Linked DNA regions of Caenorhabditis elegans. The protein of the gene in region 1 purifies or fractionates together with the protein of each later gene. This does not show direct contact. Each region holds a gene or a part of one and is shown on either strand. Other genes may lie near its edges.

Region 1 (6,734 bases):
TGCTGATCACATCACCGAGTAAGAAACAAACAATTAAAAAGTAGTAAAAAACATTATCTTCTTAATTTCAGATGCGTTGTCGACGCCGTTTTGGCAATCCGTCGTGATGGAGAGGAACCAGATCTTCATATGGTTGAAAAGATGGAAATGCACCACGACAGTGATATGGATACCACACTTGTTCGTGGATTAGTTCTCGATCATGGAGCTCGTCACCCAGATATGCCAAGACACGTTAAAGACGCTTACATTCTCACTTGCAACGTTTCTTTGGAATACGAGAAGACTGAAGTCAACTCGGGACTTTTCTACAAGACCGCCAAGGAACGTGAGGCACTTCTCGCTGCCGAACGTGAATTCATTACTCGTCGTGTTCACAAGATTATTGAGTTGAAGAAGAAGGTTATTGATAATTCTCCAGATGGTAAGAATAAGGGATTCGTTGTTATCAACCAGAAAGGAATCGATCCTCCATCTCTTGACTTGCTTGCTTCCGAAGGAATTCTTGCTCTTCGTCGTGCCAAGAGACGTAACATGGAACGTCTTCAGCTGGCCGTCGGAGGAGAAGCCGTCAACTCAGTTGATGATTTGACTCCAGAGGATCTTGGATGGGCTGGACTCGTTTACGAGCATTCCCTTGGAGAAGAGAAATACACGTTTATCGAGGAATGCCGTGCTCCAAAATCTGTGACTCTTCTTATCAAGGGACCAAACAAGCATACCATCACTCAAATCAAGGATGCTATTCATGATGGACTTCGTGCTGTTTTCAACACCATCGTTGACAGTGAGTTTAAATTTTATTAACTTCTGTTCTAGTAACCTATTTTCAGAGGCTGTTCTCCCTGGAGCTGCTGCTTTCGAAATTGCTGCCTACGTGATGTTGAAAAAAGATGTTGAGAACCTGAAGGGACGTGCCAAGCTCGGAGCTGAAGCGTTTGCTCAAGCTCTTCTCGTTATTCCAAAGACACTGGCCGTAAATGGAGGATATGATGCTCAGGAAACACTTGTTAAGCTTATTGAGGAGAAAACCGCCGCTGGACCAGATATCGCCGTTGGACTCGATCTCGAAACCGGAGGAGCTGTCGAGCCACAAGGAATTTGGGACAATGTGACGGTGAAGAAGAACAGTATCTCGTCGGCGACAGTACTTGCATGCAATCTCTTGCTTGTTGATGAAGTGATGCGCGCTGGTATGACCAACTTGAAGCAGCCACAACCAGAATAAATATTAAAATTGTTTTTCTATTCCCCCCAGTGTGTCCGTTTCTATGATCTGTTGCCGTGTTTGATAATATTCCCCATCCCGTTCAACAAGCCCAACTTTACCGTTTGTTTTTATAGCTTTCTTCGAGCGATAATCAACAAAGATCGATCTGTTTTCTTTTTCTTTATTATCCCCCAATTTCTTAAATTTTCATCAAAATTTATTGCTTTTCATTTGAGAATTTGTTGATTTTTTCATGCACGTTCCTTTTTGATTTTGCGCAATAAAGGCTTCTTGCTTTTAATATTATTATGATTGGTTTCCGGTTGTGTATGTGCGCGAAGCTTTATTTCTATAGAAAATTAATATGATATTCGGAGAATTGACATTTTCGAATGTCCCGCTAAGAGAGCGCGGCCTAACAAATACCACCTCGGTCGCGTGTATTATATACGAAAAGGGTGAATGCATTTCTGTAGGTTTATGTTAAAAATTGGTTTTTTTACATTTTCCCATTGTAAAAGCATATTTTTAATTAGTTTTCCAAACATTTAAGTTCTTAAATTCCAGAGAAATGGCTGCTGAACCTCCATCACTTGAGGAACTTCTGGAAAAGAAGAAAAGAGAAGAAGATGAATTGGCAAAGGTATGTATTATTTTTTAATATCTCAAAAAACATCGCATATTTTTTAAAAACCAAACCATTTTCAAATTTTCAGCCAAAATTTCTGTCAAAAGCCGAGCGGGCCGCATTGGCTCTGAAACGAAGAGAAGAGGAGGTCGCAAAACTGCGTGAAACACAAAAACAAGCTGAAGAAGCTCGAAAAAATTGGGGACGCACCGAAAAAACATCAGACGATAGAAGAGATCGTGGACTTGACCGAGGCAATGATCGTGACAGAGACCGTGAACGGGAACGTGATCGTGATCGTCGACGGGATCGTCGGGAGAGAAGTGGTTCTCGAGATAGACGACGAAGGAGCAGGAGCCGTGATCGTGATGGTGGAAGGCGTCGAGATAGAAGTAGAAGTAGAGATAGAAGGGATCGAAATGATGATCGGAAAAGAGATAGAAACGAGGATAGTGATAATGAAGAAGATGTTAGTAAAATGGCAGATGCTGTTAAAGACAGATATCTTGGAAAACAGAAGGAAAAGAAGAAAAGAGGACGGAGACTTCATGAGAAAAAGTTTGTTTTTGATTGGGATGCTGGAGAGGATACATCACAGGATTATAACAAATTATATCAAAGTCGACATGAAATTCAGTTCTTTGGAAGAGGATCTGTTGCTGGAACGGATGTGAATGCTCAGAAAAAAGAGAAGAACTCGTTCTACCAGGAAATGATGGAAAATCGAAGAACTGTTGATGAGAAAGAGCAAGAGATGCATCGCCTTGAAAAAGAACTGAAAAAAGAAAAGAAAGTGGCTCATGATGATCGTCATTGGAGAATGAAAGAACTTTCTGAGATGTCTGACAGAGATTGGCGTATCTTCCGTGAAGATTTCAATATTTCTATTAAAGGAGGCAGAGTTCCACGACCTCTTCGTAATTGGGAAGAAGCTGGATTTCCAGATGAAGTCTACCAAGCTGTCAAAGAAATTGGTTATCTGGAACCTACACCTATTCAGAGACAAGCCATCCCAATTGGTCTTCAGAATCGTGACGTAATCGGTGTAGCTGAAACTGGATCAGGAAAAACTGCAGCTTTCCTTCTACCGCTGCTTGTATGGATCACAAGCCTTCCAAAAATGGAACGACAAGAACATCGGGACTTGGGTCCATATGCTATTATTATGGCTCCAACAAGAGAATTGGCTCAGCAGATTGAAGAGGAAACCAACAAGTTCGGAAAGCTTCTCGGTATCAAGACCGTTTCAGTAATCGGAGGAGCCAGCAGAGAAGATCAAGGAATGAAGCTTCGAATGGGTGTTGAAGTGGTCATTGCAACACCAGGTCGTCTTCTCGATGTTCTGGAAAATCGATATCTTCTCCTGAATCAGTGTACCTATGTGATCCTTGACGAAGCTGATCGAATGCTTGACATGGGATTTGAACCAGATGTTCAGAAGGTTCTGGAGTACATGCCAGATACAAATATGAAGAAAGATACGGATGAATTCGATAATGAAGAAGCTTTGATGAAGGGATTCTCAACAAGAGAGAAATATCGACAAACTGTCATGTTCACAGCTACAATGTCTTCAGCTATCGAAAGACTTGCCAGACAATATCTCAGAAGACCAGCAGTTGTACATATTGGATCTGCTGGAAAGCCTACAGAAAGAGTTGAACAGGTAATTTATTTTATTCTTGGTAGAAAAGAAAAATAATTATGAGAATCGTTTTTCATATTTCGACATTAAGCTGAACTAGAAAAATTACTAGAACTAAGGCAGCTTCCTAAAGTAGCTTCATAAAAGTTGTTAACTAAAATTTGCTAAAAACTAATTAAGAACACCCAAAAAATTGTTTTTTAACTGAAAAAAGTGAAAAATTGTTTGGTTTTTTGTTGGTTTTCTAAAAAATAAAATCAAAAAATTAATTTTTCGTCAAATTACCAAAAAATGCCAAAAAAAAGTCCCATCTCTGGATTGAAACCACGCAGAAAGGGGGAATTCTGTTTTCAGTGTCTTTTTTCAGAGGCTAGTATTTTTTAGTAAGAAATTTCAAAAAAATTTCAAGTTTTTTAAAAATTCCAAAATATTTCGTATTCAGGTAGTCTACATGGTTCCAGAGGATCGTAAACGTAAGAAGCTCGTCGAAGTGCTCGAATCACAATTCCAACCACCGATTATTATTTTTGTCAATCAGAAGAAAGGTGCTGATATGCTCTCAAAAGGTCTTACCAAACTTGGTTTCAAGCCAACAGTTCTTCACGGAGGAAAAGGTCAAGATCAAAGAGAATACGCTCTGCAGGCTCTTAAAGAAGGAACGAGTGATATTCTTGTGGCTACTGATGTTGCTGGAAGAGGTTCGTTTTTTTTTTTGGAAAAAAATTGTTGATTCAAATACTTTTTTCAAGTATATATATACCGTATATTCTCTATTAGAGCGGCGTATCTAATAGTACGGCGTATCTATTAGAGCGGCACCCTAACTGGCTCTTCGAAAATTAGAGCGGCAGTCTCTATTAGTGTGGCACCCCTTTTTTTGGGTGCGAGAGCCACCTCAATTATTCGATTTCTTCGAAGATATTTTTGTTCATTCTTGAATGAATTCATAAATTTTCATTTAAATATTGAATTTTAGTGTCTTTGTGAGGCAAAATTACACAATTTTCACGAATTTTTCCATAAAATATGAGGTTTTATAAGGAAATTTTGAGGTTACTACTCCCAACAGTAGTAACTTCAATATGAAAATTAGTTATCGAAAATTAGTGCGGCAGTATCCAGTAGAACGGCAGTCTCTAATAGAGCGCACGTCGCGAAGGGCCCGGAAATTAGTGCGGCATGCCGCTCTAATAGAGAATATACGGTATATAACGTTTCTTGAAAGTTTCAAACTCTTCTGAATGAAAACCCAAAAATTTGAGATTCCCCTATTTAAAAAAAAAACTAATTGAAGAGGTTTGATTCGAAATGTAACTAAAAAATTATAAATTCAAAGTTTTGAAAATCAAAATAATATCCACTTAATTTTCAGGTATCGACGTCAAAGATGTATCACTGGTACTCAACTACGATATGGCAAAATCAATTGAAGACTATACTCACAGAATTGGTAGAACTGGTATGTTTTTATTCACTTTTTCTGTGGAAATTTTTTGATGAAGTGTAATTTTCTGTTTTGGGAAAATATGAGATTCTTGAGGACATCATTTTTTTAAAATTTATCTCCACATAGTATGATTTATTACAACGGAAAAAAGATAAAGAACAGCGGAGCAGTAAGAAATTATTTAAAGAAAATTTTAAAAAATGAAAAAAAATGCGTAGAAGTTTTCATAAATTTTGAAGCTACTAGCATCTGAAAACTTCCACACTTTTCTTCTTGATCACATATAATAATTTCTTTTAAATTTCAGGTCGAGCTGGTAAACATGGAAAAGCAATCACATTCCTCACACCTGACGATACTGCCGTCTATTTCGACTTGAAGCAGGTAAAAATTGTGACGGAAACCGGACACCAAAAATGATATTGGACCTAAAAATCAAAAAATTTTTGTTTTGATTTTAGGTCGAAAAATAAAAATTGAAATTTGCGAAAAATTAAAGAAGAAACTAAACAAGAAAAACGAAAAATTGAGGACTTTAGTTTAATTTTTATTTTTAAAGAACAATGAAAAAATGAAAATTTTTTAAAGATAAAAAATCCAACAAAAAAAATTTAATTTTTTGTCCAAATATCAACAAAAAAGAAAAGATTTGCATTCGGTTTTCTGAAAGATAATCGATGAAATAAGTAGTTAAAAATGAAAACATCAGTTAATCGTTTCATAAAATATTTAAAAAAAATATTTTAAGCGTTCTTGAACAATTTAGAAAAAAAAAATCCACTTTTGGGTTACTGTAGTTACTGCAAGCGAATTAAAATTACAATGAAAAAAAGAAACAACTCCGAAAAAAATTTATTCGAATAAGGTTAATTCGATGAGATGCCCTTTAATTAAGTCGTTAATGAATGTTTTGAATTTAATTTTCAAAATTTCCGTCTAATTCCAAGATAATCGTTTTTGAAAGTTTTTTTTTTCAAAAGTTTCAAAAGAAAATGTATCACTCAATAAATACTTTTAATAAAAATATTTTAACTCGTATTTTTTCCAGGTTCTGGTCGAATCGCCAGTGTCATCATGCCCACCTGAACTTGCGAATCATCCGGATGCACAGAGTAAGCCTGGAGTGTTTACATCAAAGAAACGACAAGATGAAACATTGTTCTTGAAGTGATAATTCTCTTTTTTGTTTGGAAAATCTCAACATTTATATTTATTTATTCAATTTTTATATGATTGTTCTACCAGATCTGTTAAATAAATACTCCTGACCCCATCATTCCGTTCAAATTTCATTATTAATTCCAGAATAGGAAAATGATCATGAAAAGTTGCTCTCTGTCGGATTTCCAAGAGCACATTATTCGGAGAATGTGTGTTTTAAAGCTAGTCTCGTGGAAAAATTCAAATTAAATGAATTCTCATGTTAGGAAGCAAAATAATTAATTTTTCGATTTTAAGAAACGAAATTGAAAGTTTAAAAATCTGAAATATTTCACTCCACACTGATCATAATTTTTTTAAAATAAAATAAAATAGTATTTTGAAATACGTTTTACTAGTTATTGTGAAAAAAGGAAAACTGAAAATAAATAAATAAATCTTTAAAGGTTGGGTACATGTTAGATAATTATAAAAATAAGAAGTTCGTCGACGTGTTCGAATCGTTTTTCCAAAAAACCTTCGCCAAGGAATAAAACCTAACAAAATCATAATGTTGTCAAAAAAAATGGGCCGACATGCTCTCAAAAGGTCTCGTAAACCTGAAGATCAAATCCACGGTTTTTCACGGAGGAAAGACTCACTG
Region 2 (7,379 bases), on another chromosome or scaffold:
GATCCAGCGACGGCGACATAGTGGACACGAAGGCTGGGTAGAGGAACGGTGCCACCTTTGAACACATCTGGAAATAAACAGTGTTCAAAAATGCTCAGATTAAACCCAGCCGAGGCTTGAGACATGATTTTCAAACTCGCGCGCAATCGAGAAGTGCACGTGCTGTCATTGGCTAAAAATTCCCGCATTTTTTGTAGATCAAACCGCAATGGGACAGCCTGACACCACGTGGAAGTGTGCCGACCAATGAACGATACGCATAGGCTGATTGACCAGCGCAACATTATTTTGTGCGTTTATTTTCAAATGCTCAATTCTAGTCGAATTTTCACTCAAAATAATTCTAGCGCTCACATTACCAATTTTAGAGCCAAATCTTACAAGGCGTCAGAAATTCCCAGTACGGTTTGATCTACCCAAATCACTGCAATTTTCGAAGATCAAACGGCAGTGACTTCTCAAGAAAATACGACGGTGACCGAGTTTTATCTTTTCACGGCCACAAAAACCTACGTTTTGCATCCAATAACGTTCATGCATCGATTACAGCCTTGTGGGTCAACTGGAGTCTCAAAACAGACGGTACACTCTCCCCGTGCGCCGATCGGTGAGCCAACTCGAGCTGCATGATTTGAGGTGCCTTGTGATGTGCTTGGCTGATTCGATGGAGCAGCTTCAAAAGAGTCTGACAATTTGACTTCAGATTCGTCATCATCAAGGGTTATGGCATTTTCATTGATTCCTTGTGACGGCAAGTTTCTTGCAAGAACGGCCGGTAAAACGTCCACGTGGCCTCCATAACCTTCTCTTCCAGCTGCGGCTCTGATTGTTGGCTGATTTTGTGCATTCTGGGGAGTTGGTTGTCCTTGTGACCCAGTCGCTGCGCTGGTGGGATCCGGGGCCACAGCAGCCACCTGTACTCCAGTACCTTCTCTTCCAGCTGGAGCTATGGTTCCTGTCAGATTTTGTTGTTGAGCTTGAGGATTATCTCGATTCACTTGGATATGAACAGTTTCAGGTTGTGGAGGATTTTGAGGAGGCGCTGGGTTGGCTGGATTTGGCCCCCAGTTCAATTCATTCTCAAGGTTTCGAGCAAGTGCGAGATCCTTCAATTCCTGTTCGTAGCGGAGATACGCTTGCCTTAAAAACGAAATATTGATTTTTTTTGCACTGGACGGCTTTTGCTACATGGCCGAGTAAATAGAAAAATCGGCCACCAACTTTCTAATTAGCAGCCACTTCAAGTCTCTTTCTCACCTCTGTTCCTCAACATTTACATCGTCGAATGAAAAGTTCGCTGAACTGCGTCGTGAAGTACGTGTTGGAGCCATTTCGAGAATCGAGTAGAACAATTTTATAAAACTAGAGTAGGGAATGAATTTTGAAAAACTTCACATCCGTATTTCTGCGAAAATGGCGTGTATTTTCTTTTTTCGTTGCGTGAATAAACAATAATCAGAAATTTTAATATTTTAAAACGTGAATTTGTTTTCCTATCTCTTAGATTTTCATCTCTGCACTACATTAAATCTTTCTTCTTCGTGAGGTCTCCAATTTCAATTTCGCGCTATGACTACGACGCTCCGACATTCCACAGGCCGCTTTGTTTAACGTAAATCGACACGGATTTCTTCCCCCATTTTTATTTATTTTTTACCCATTTTCCTCGTTAAAAACCTGGTTTTGCCAGAAAATATTCATTTTTTCTTTGAGATTCCATTTCCAGACACATGACAACTCGATTAATTGTCAAAAACTTGCCTAGCACCTGCACGGAACAGCAACTACGGAAATTTTTCGAAAAATATGGTCAGATTTCCGATGCGTCGCTAAAGTACACAAAGGAAGGAAAATTCCGTGGATTTGCTTTTGTCGGATTTTTAGACGAAGGATCTGCGTCAAATGCGTTAGCCAAATCGAATCAAACATTTTTTAATTCGAAAAAGTTAACGGTGAGTCAGATAATTAACGTTTTTTGTTTAAAAAAAAAATGAATTTTCAGGTTGAAGAATGTCGTCCATTTGGTGATGCAAACAAGCCGAGAGCCTGGAGCAAGTATGCTAAAGATTCAAGTGCTTACAAGCGTACTCATGGAGAGAAAGAAGAAGCAAATCCGGGAAAATCAGACGAAACCGAAGAACCAGCTCCAAAAAAGCAGAAGGACGATGCGAAATTTGATCAATTTTTAGAAGCAAAAGGAGTTGTAGTTGAGAAAGAAGTGAAATTGAGTAAAGATAAATCTGCAGAAGCAAAGAAATTGATGGCAGAGCTCATGGACGGAATTGGAGGTAAAAAATACATTTTTGAATTTAATATATAAAATGGTTTTTAATATTTCAGGTGACACCTCACTTTCGCTAATTTTCTCCGGGCTTCCAAGTTCAGCAAAAGGCAAAAATATCAAAGAATGGCTCAATCCGATTCGTGTTAAAGCCATGAAAATCGCTAGAAATGAGGATGTTGCCGCCGCATTTGTAACGTTCAATAGACCACCAGATGTTAGAAGAGCACTTCAGAAAGATGGACAATTCTTGGGAGGATTTAAAATTGGAATTGAAAAGATTGAAACTCCAGAACCGGAGCATGAAGTTATAGAAGAGCATGGAGCATCGTTGGAAAGTCGAGATAAAGAGGAAGAAACTGTTCGTGAAAAGATTCTTGAAACTGGACGTCTTTTTCTTCGAAATCTACCATACGCCACTAAAGAAGACGATCTACAATTTTTATTCAAAAAGTACGGAGAAGTATCTGAAGTTCAAGTAGTTATTGATAAGAAGACAGGCGCGTGCAAAGGATTCGCAATTGTTGAATTTGTATTCCCAGAAGCTGCAGTTGCTGCATATTCGGCACTAGATGGATATGTATTCAAAGGACGTATGATGCATATTTTACCAGGAGATGAGAAGCGTACGAAAGAAGGAGAAGAAGAATCTGAAGTTGTTCCAGATGATCCAGATAATCCATTGAAGGCTGAAGCAAAGAAAGAAAAGAAAAAGAAGTCGTTTAAAGAGGAGAAAGATGAACAGAAAAAAGCTTCCGCCGGGAAAACTGCCCATTCGTGGAATGCTCTGTTCTTGGGAGCCAATGCGATTGCAGATACATTGGCTCAACGTTTAAATGTCAAGAAATCTGATTTATTGACTAGTGATCAAGGTAGATCTGGAATATATTTTGAAGTAACAACGACTACAATTCGAAACTTATGTGTTTTTTGAAAGAAAACCTTCTGAATAGGCGACCACAAAATATTTAGCCGCAGAACAGTACTCTGAACCAGTGCGGAAATTGGAAATTTCCGGCATTTTCGGCGATTGCCGGTTTTGGAAATTTCCGGCAATTTTCAAACCTAATAATATTTTGGAAATTGAAAAAATGTCACCACGTTTTTACAAGATTCGGGTAGCCATTTTCTCAGAAAAATACATAAAACATTCAATCCTTTAAGGATTACATAATTTTGACCTTGAAAATCGAAAATTGTTCATTGAAATGCATTTTTAGGCTCCTATCTACAAAAAGTTTCAAATTTATATTTCCGGCTATTTTGATTTCCGGCAATTTCGGCAATTCCGGCAATTGCCGGTTTTGTGAATTTCCGGCAATTCCGACAATTGCCGGTTTCGTGAAGTTTCGGCAATTTCGGCAATTGTCGGTTTCTGTGAATTTCCGGAAATTTCCGGCAACTTCGGCAATTCCGGCAATTCTGGCAATTACCGGTATTCAGAATTTCCGGCAATCAGCAATTCCGCCAATTGCCGGTTTTGTGAATTTTCGGCAATTGTCGGTTTTCAAAATTTCCGGCAATTCCGTCAATTGTCGATTTTGTGAATTTCTGGCAATCGGCAGTTCCGGCAATTGCCGGTATTCAAAAATTCTGGCAATTCCACCAATTGCCGGTTTTGTGAATTTCCGGCAATTCCGACAATTGCCGGTTTCGTGAAGTTTCGGCAATTTCGGCAATTGTCGGTTTCTGTGAATTTCCGGAAATTTCCGGCAACTTCGGCAATTCCGGCAATTCCGGCAATTACCGGTATTCAGAATTTCCGGCAATCAGCAATTCCGCCAATTGCCGGTTTTGTGAATTTTCGGCAATTGCCGGTATTCAAAAATTCTGGCAATTCCACCAATTGCCGGTTTTGTGAATTTTCGGCAATTGCCGGTATTCAAAAATTCTGGCAATTCCACCAATTGCCGGTTTTGTGAATTTCTGGCAATTCCGACAATTGACGGTTTCGTGAAGTTTCGGCAAATTTCGGCATTTGCTTGCCGAAAGTTCACAAAACCGGCAATAGTGGGAAACACTGTTTTTAACCTAAAAAGCCCAGAATTTGACGAAAAATAAGTTAAAATAGTTCAAAAAGTTACATTTTTTCCCTAAAATCTTAAATGAAAGCTCATTTTTCGGAAAAAAATTGTTGATTTTCTGTACATCAACGTTTTTTGGGGTAAAATAATAACTTTTTTCCTCTGAAAATCGATTTTTTTCAGTCAAAAGTAACAAAATTTCAGATATTTCTCTACATTAATTTTCTAAATACCACTCATTTTGATTTAAAAAATAGCACAAAAATTTTTTAGATTCAGTTTTTTTTGCGGGCACCTATTTGAAATGTTTTAATAACAAATGTTTCTTAATGAATTTTTGAAATTTTCTTTAATTTATGCTTATTTAACTTCTATTTTCAGGTGAATCAGCTGGAGTTCGTCTCGCTCTTGCTGAAACTCGTCTCGTCCGTGAAACTCGTGATTTCTTCCTCGAAAACGGTGTGAAACTCGACGCATTCTCGAAACCAGCCGAAAAACGTAGTGATACTGTAATGCTTGCAAAGAATTTGCCTGCTGGCGTCGAATCTGAAGAACTTCAACGAATGTTCGAGAAATTTGGCGATTGTACGAAGGTTCTGATGCCAACGGAAGGAGGTGTCAGTGCACTTGTCATTATGGGAAATCCAGTTGACGCGAAGAAAGCATTCAGAGCTTTAGCTTATTCAAGATTTAGAAGTCAACCCTTGTACTTGGAATGGGCTCCATATGACGTCATGGGAGCAACTGCACCACCTGCAGAAGATAAGACTGCAGAAGTAGCTGATAAACCGAAATTATCGAAGAGAGAAATGACTTATGAAGAGAAAAGAAAAGAAAGAAAGAATCGGCAGCAAGGTATTACTGAAGAAGAGAAGGATGACGGAGAGGTGATAGAAGAGGAAGAAAAACCGAAAGAAGTTGAAGCTGAAGATAAGAAAAAGTCTTCCAAGAAGCAGTCGGAAAAGGAAATTGAGTCTGGAAGTACGCTTTTCGTCAAAAATCTCGCTTTCGACACTACCGATGGAAGCTTGGAATTCTTGTTCAGGTATGGAATTAAATCTATATTATCCACATGCGAAATCCTGCGATTATTATGCCACCTGGTCTCGACACGACAATTTTTTGATAAATTGAAAAAAAAGGTGTGCGCCTTTAATGGTGGAGTAGGACCGTAATGACCAAATATTATTGTAAAAAATCTAAAAAATTAATATAAAAATGTTAATTTTTTCAATTTTGCAAAAGATTTGAAATTTTTTGTTTTTTCTTTAATAATTAATTTAAAACACTGTTTGCCAAATTTTCAGACAGTTTTTCGCTAAATAATTATAATTTGAGTTTTATGCCAATTTTGGAGTTTTAGCGAATTTTTACAAATTATAACGAAAATTAAATAAATATAGCCGGGAAACGAGAAAATATCAAAACTAAGTGATTAAATTGTGCGGGAATTAAAAAATAATAAGCTAATTTTTTTTAAATTTCTGCCGAAAAAAAATTATTTTTTTAATTTAAAAATTAATTTTTGGTATTACGGTCAATTTTCTATCATCATCCAAATAGTGATGTAATTAAAAAAAAAAGGTTTTCGATAAAATGTTTTATTTATTAAAAAAACTCAAATTAAAAAAACACTTAAATTTAAACAAATCATGAGAAAAAAAAATCGTTGAAAATTCCGCAGCTATCAAGTGTAATAGAATCTTTTCATAAATGGTTTTTGTTTTCAGAAAACGATATGGAGACCTCGTTAAATCTGCGCAAATCTCCAAGAAGCTCAATCCAGCGGAGCCAACGAAGCCACTTTCCATGGGATTCGGATTCGTTCAGTTCTACACTGCATTCGACGCGAAAACTGCACTGAAAGATATGCAAGGAGAGCTTCTTGATGGTCATTCTCTAGAATTGAAGATTTCGCATAGAGAGGTATAGAGGTTATAATGGAAATATTTAAATTTATTTTTTATTCAGAACGCCGACAAGGGAGCTCTAAAACGAAAGGAAGTGAAGCAAAAAGAGCAGGGAGAATGTACGAAGCTTTTGGTCAGAAATCTACCATTTGAAGCATCAGTTAAAGAAGTTGAAACTCTTTTTGAAACTTTTGGAGCTGTAAAAACCATTCGTATTCCTAAAAAGCCAGGACAAAAGCAACAACATCGTGGATTCGGATTCGTCGATTTTATTTCGGCAGATGAGGCTCATCGAGCATTTGATTCTCTTGTTCACTCTACTCATCTGTACGGAAGACGTTTAGTTTTGGAATGGGCTAAAGACGATGAAACTGTGGAAGAACTTCGTGAAAAGACGGCCGAGAAGTTTGCTGGAAATAAGAAAGGAGTCAAAAAATCGAAAGCACAAACTGAAGAATTCCAGCAACAGTTGCAAATTGCCGATGATGAAAAGGATTAATTGTTATTTTTGCCTGTTTCTGTTACTTTTTATTGTTATATTGTTATCTTTTTCACCGATTTTTGTTGTGTTTTTGAAAGTTTTTAAGTTTAAAAATACATAAATGAAAAAAACAATTTTTTAAATCAGATTTTTAAATTTTTCGGAACGAAAGATGGAATTAGAAACAAGCATGCTTTAAATAAAAACACTGACACACAAAATATTTTGGACCAAAAAACCAAACTTTCGAATTATGAAACAGGGGTGGGCGGCAAACGATTTTTCCGGCAAATCGGATAAATTCCGGCAAATCGGAATTGAAAATTTGCCGAAAATTTTCGGCAAATTGTGGTTTTGCACTTATTTTTTTGGAAATTTCAAAATTTCAATTTCAAATGGCAAAATTAAACGCATCCTACGAATGTTCTTACATGTATTTTGAAAAGTAAGCAAATTATATGAAAATATGGAGAAAAAAAGGAAAAAATTCAAAAAGACACAGTTTTGAGTGTTTCCGTCTTATAAAAAATCCCTCTAACAGAAAAATGACATTGCGGCGGATTTCAGAAAAATGGCATTGCGGCGGATTTTCGAAAAATGACATTGCGGCGGATTTCAGAAAAATGACATTGCGGCGGATTTTTGAAAAATGGCATTGCGGCGGATTTTTGAAAAATGACATT

The links. The genes of interacting proteins can lie anywhere in the genome.
Region 2: the proteins of ddx-23 (region 1) and rbd-1 fractionate together in Caenorhabditis elegans (co-fractionation; one large-scale study listed by BioGRID). This does not show direct contact.

Annotation. Positions count from the first base shown.
Region 1 is NC_003281.10:5,848,311-5,855,044, reverse strand, and holds ddx-23 (putative ATP-dependent RNA helicase DDX23), read left to right. Parts: upstream 1-1,775; 5' UTR 1,776-1,781; coding exon 1,782-1,853; intron 1,854-1,926; coding exon 1,927-3,504; intron 3,505-3,925; coding exon 3,926-4,181; intron 4,182-4,855; coding exon 4,856-4,942; intron 4,943-5,237; coding exon 5,238-5,314; intron 5,315-5,978; coding exon 5,979-6,101; 3' UTR 6,102-6,207; downstream 6,208-6,734. Other genes in the region: cct-6 (T-complex protein 1 subunit zeta), read left to right, coding at 1-18, 72-787, 834-1,228.
Region 2 is NC_003282.8:12,723,260-12,730,638, forward strand, and holds rbd-1 (RRM domain-containing protein), read left to right. Parts: upstream 1-1,726; 5' UTR 1,727-1,730; coding exon 1,731-1,952; intron 1,953-2,002; coding exon 2,003-2,288; intron 2,289-2,340; coding exon 2,341-3,153; intron 3,154-4,686; coding exon 4,687-5,350; intron 5,351-6,035; coding exon 6,036-6,231; intron 6,232-6,276; coding exon 6,277-6,714; 3' UTR 6,715-6,836; downstream 6,837-7,379. Other genes in the region: T23F6.3 (RING-type domain-containing protein), read right to left, coding at 1-67, 514-1,140, 1,258-1,331.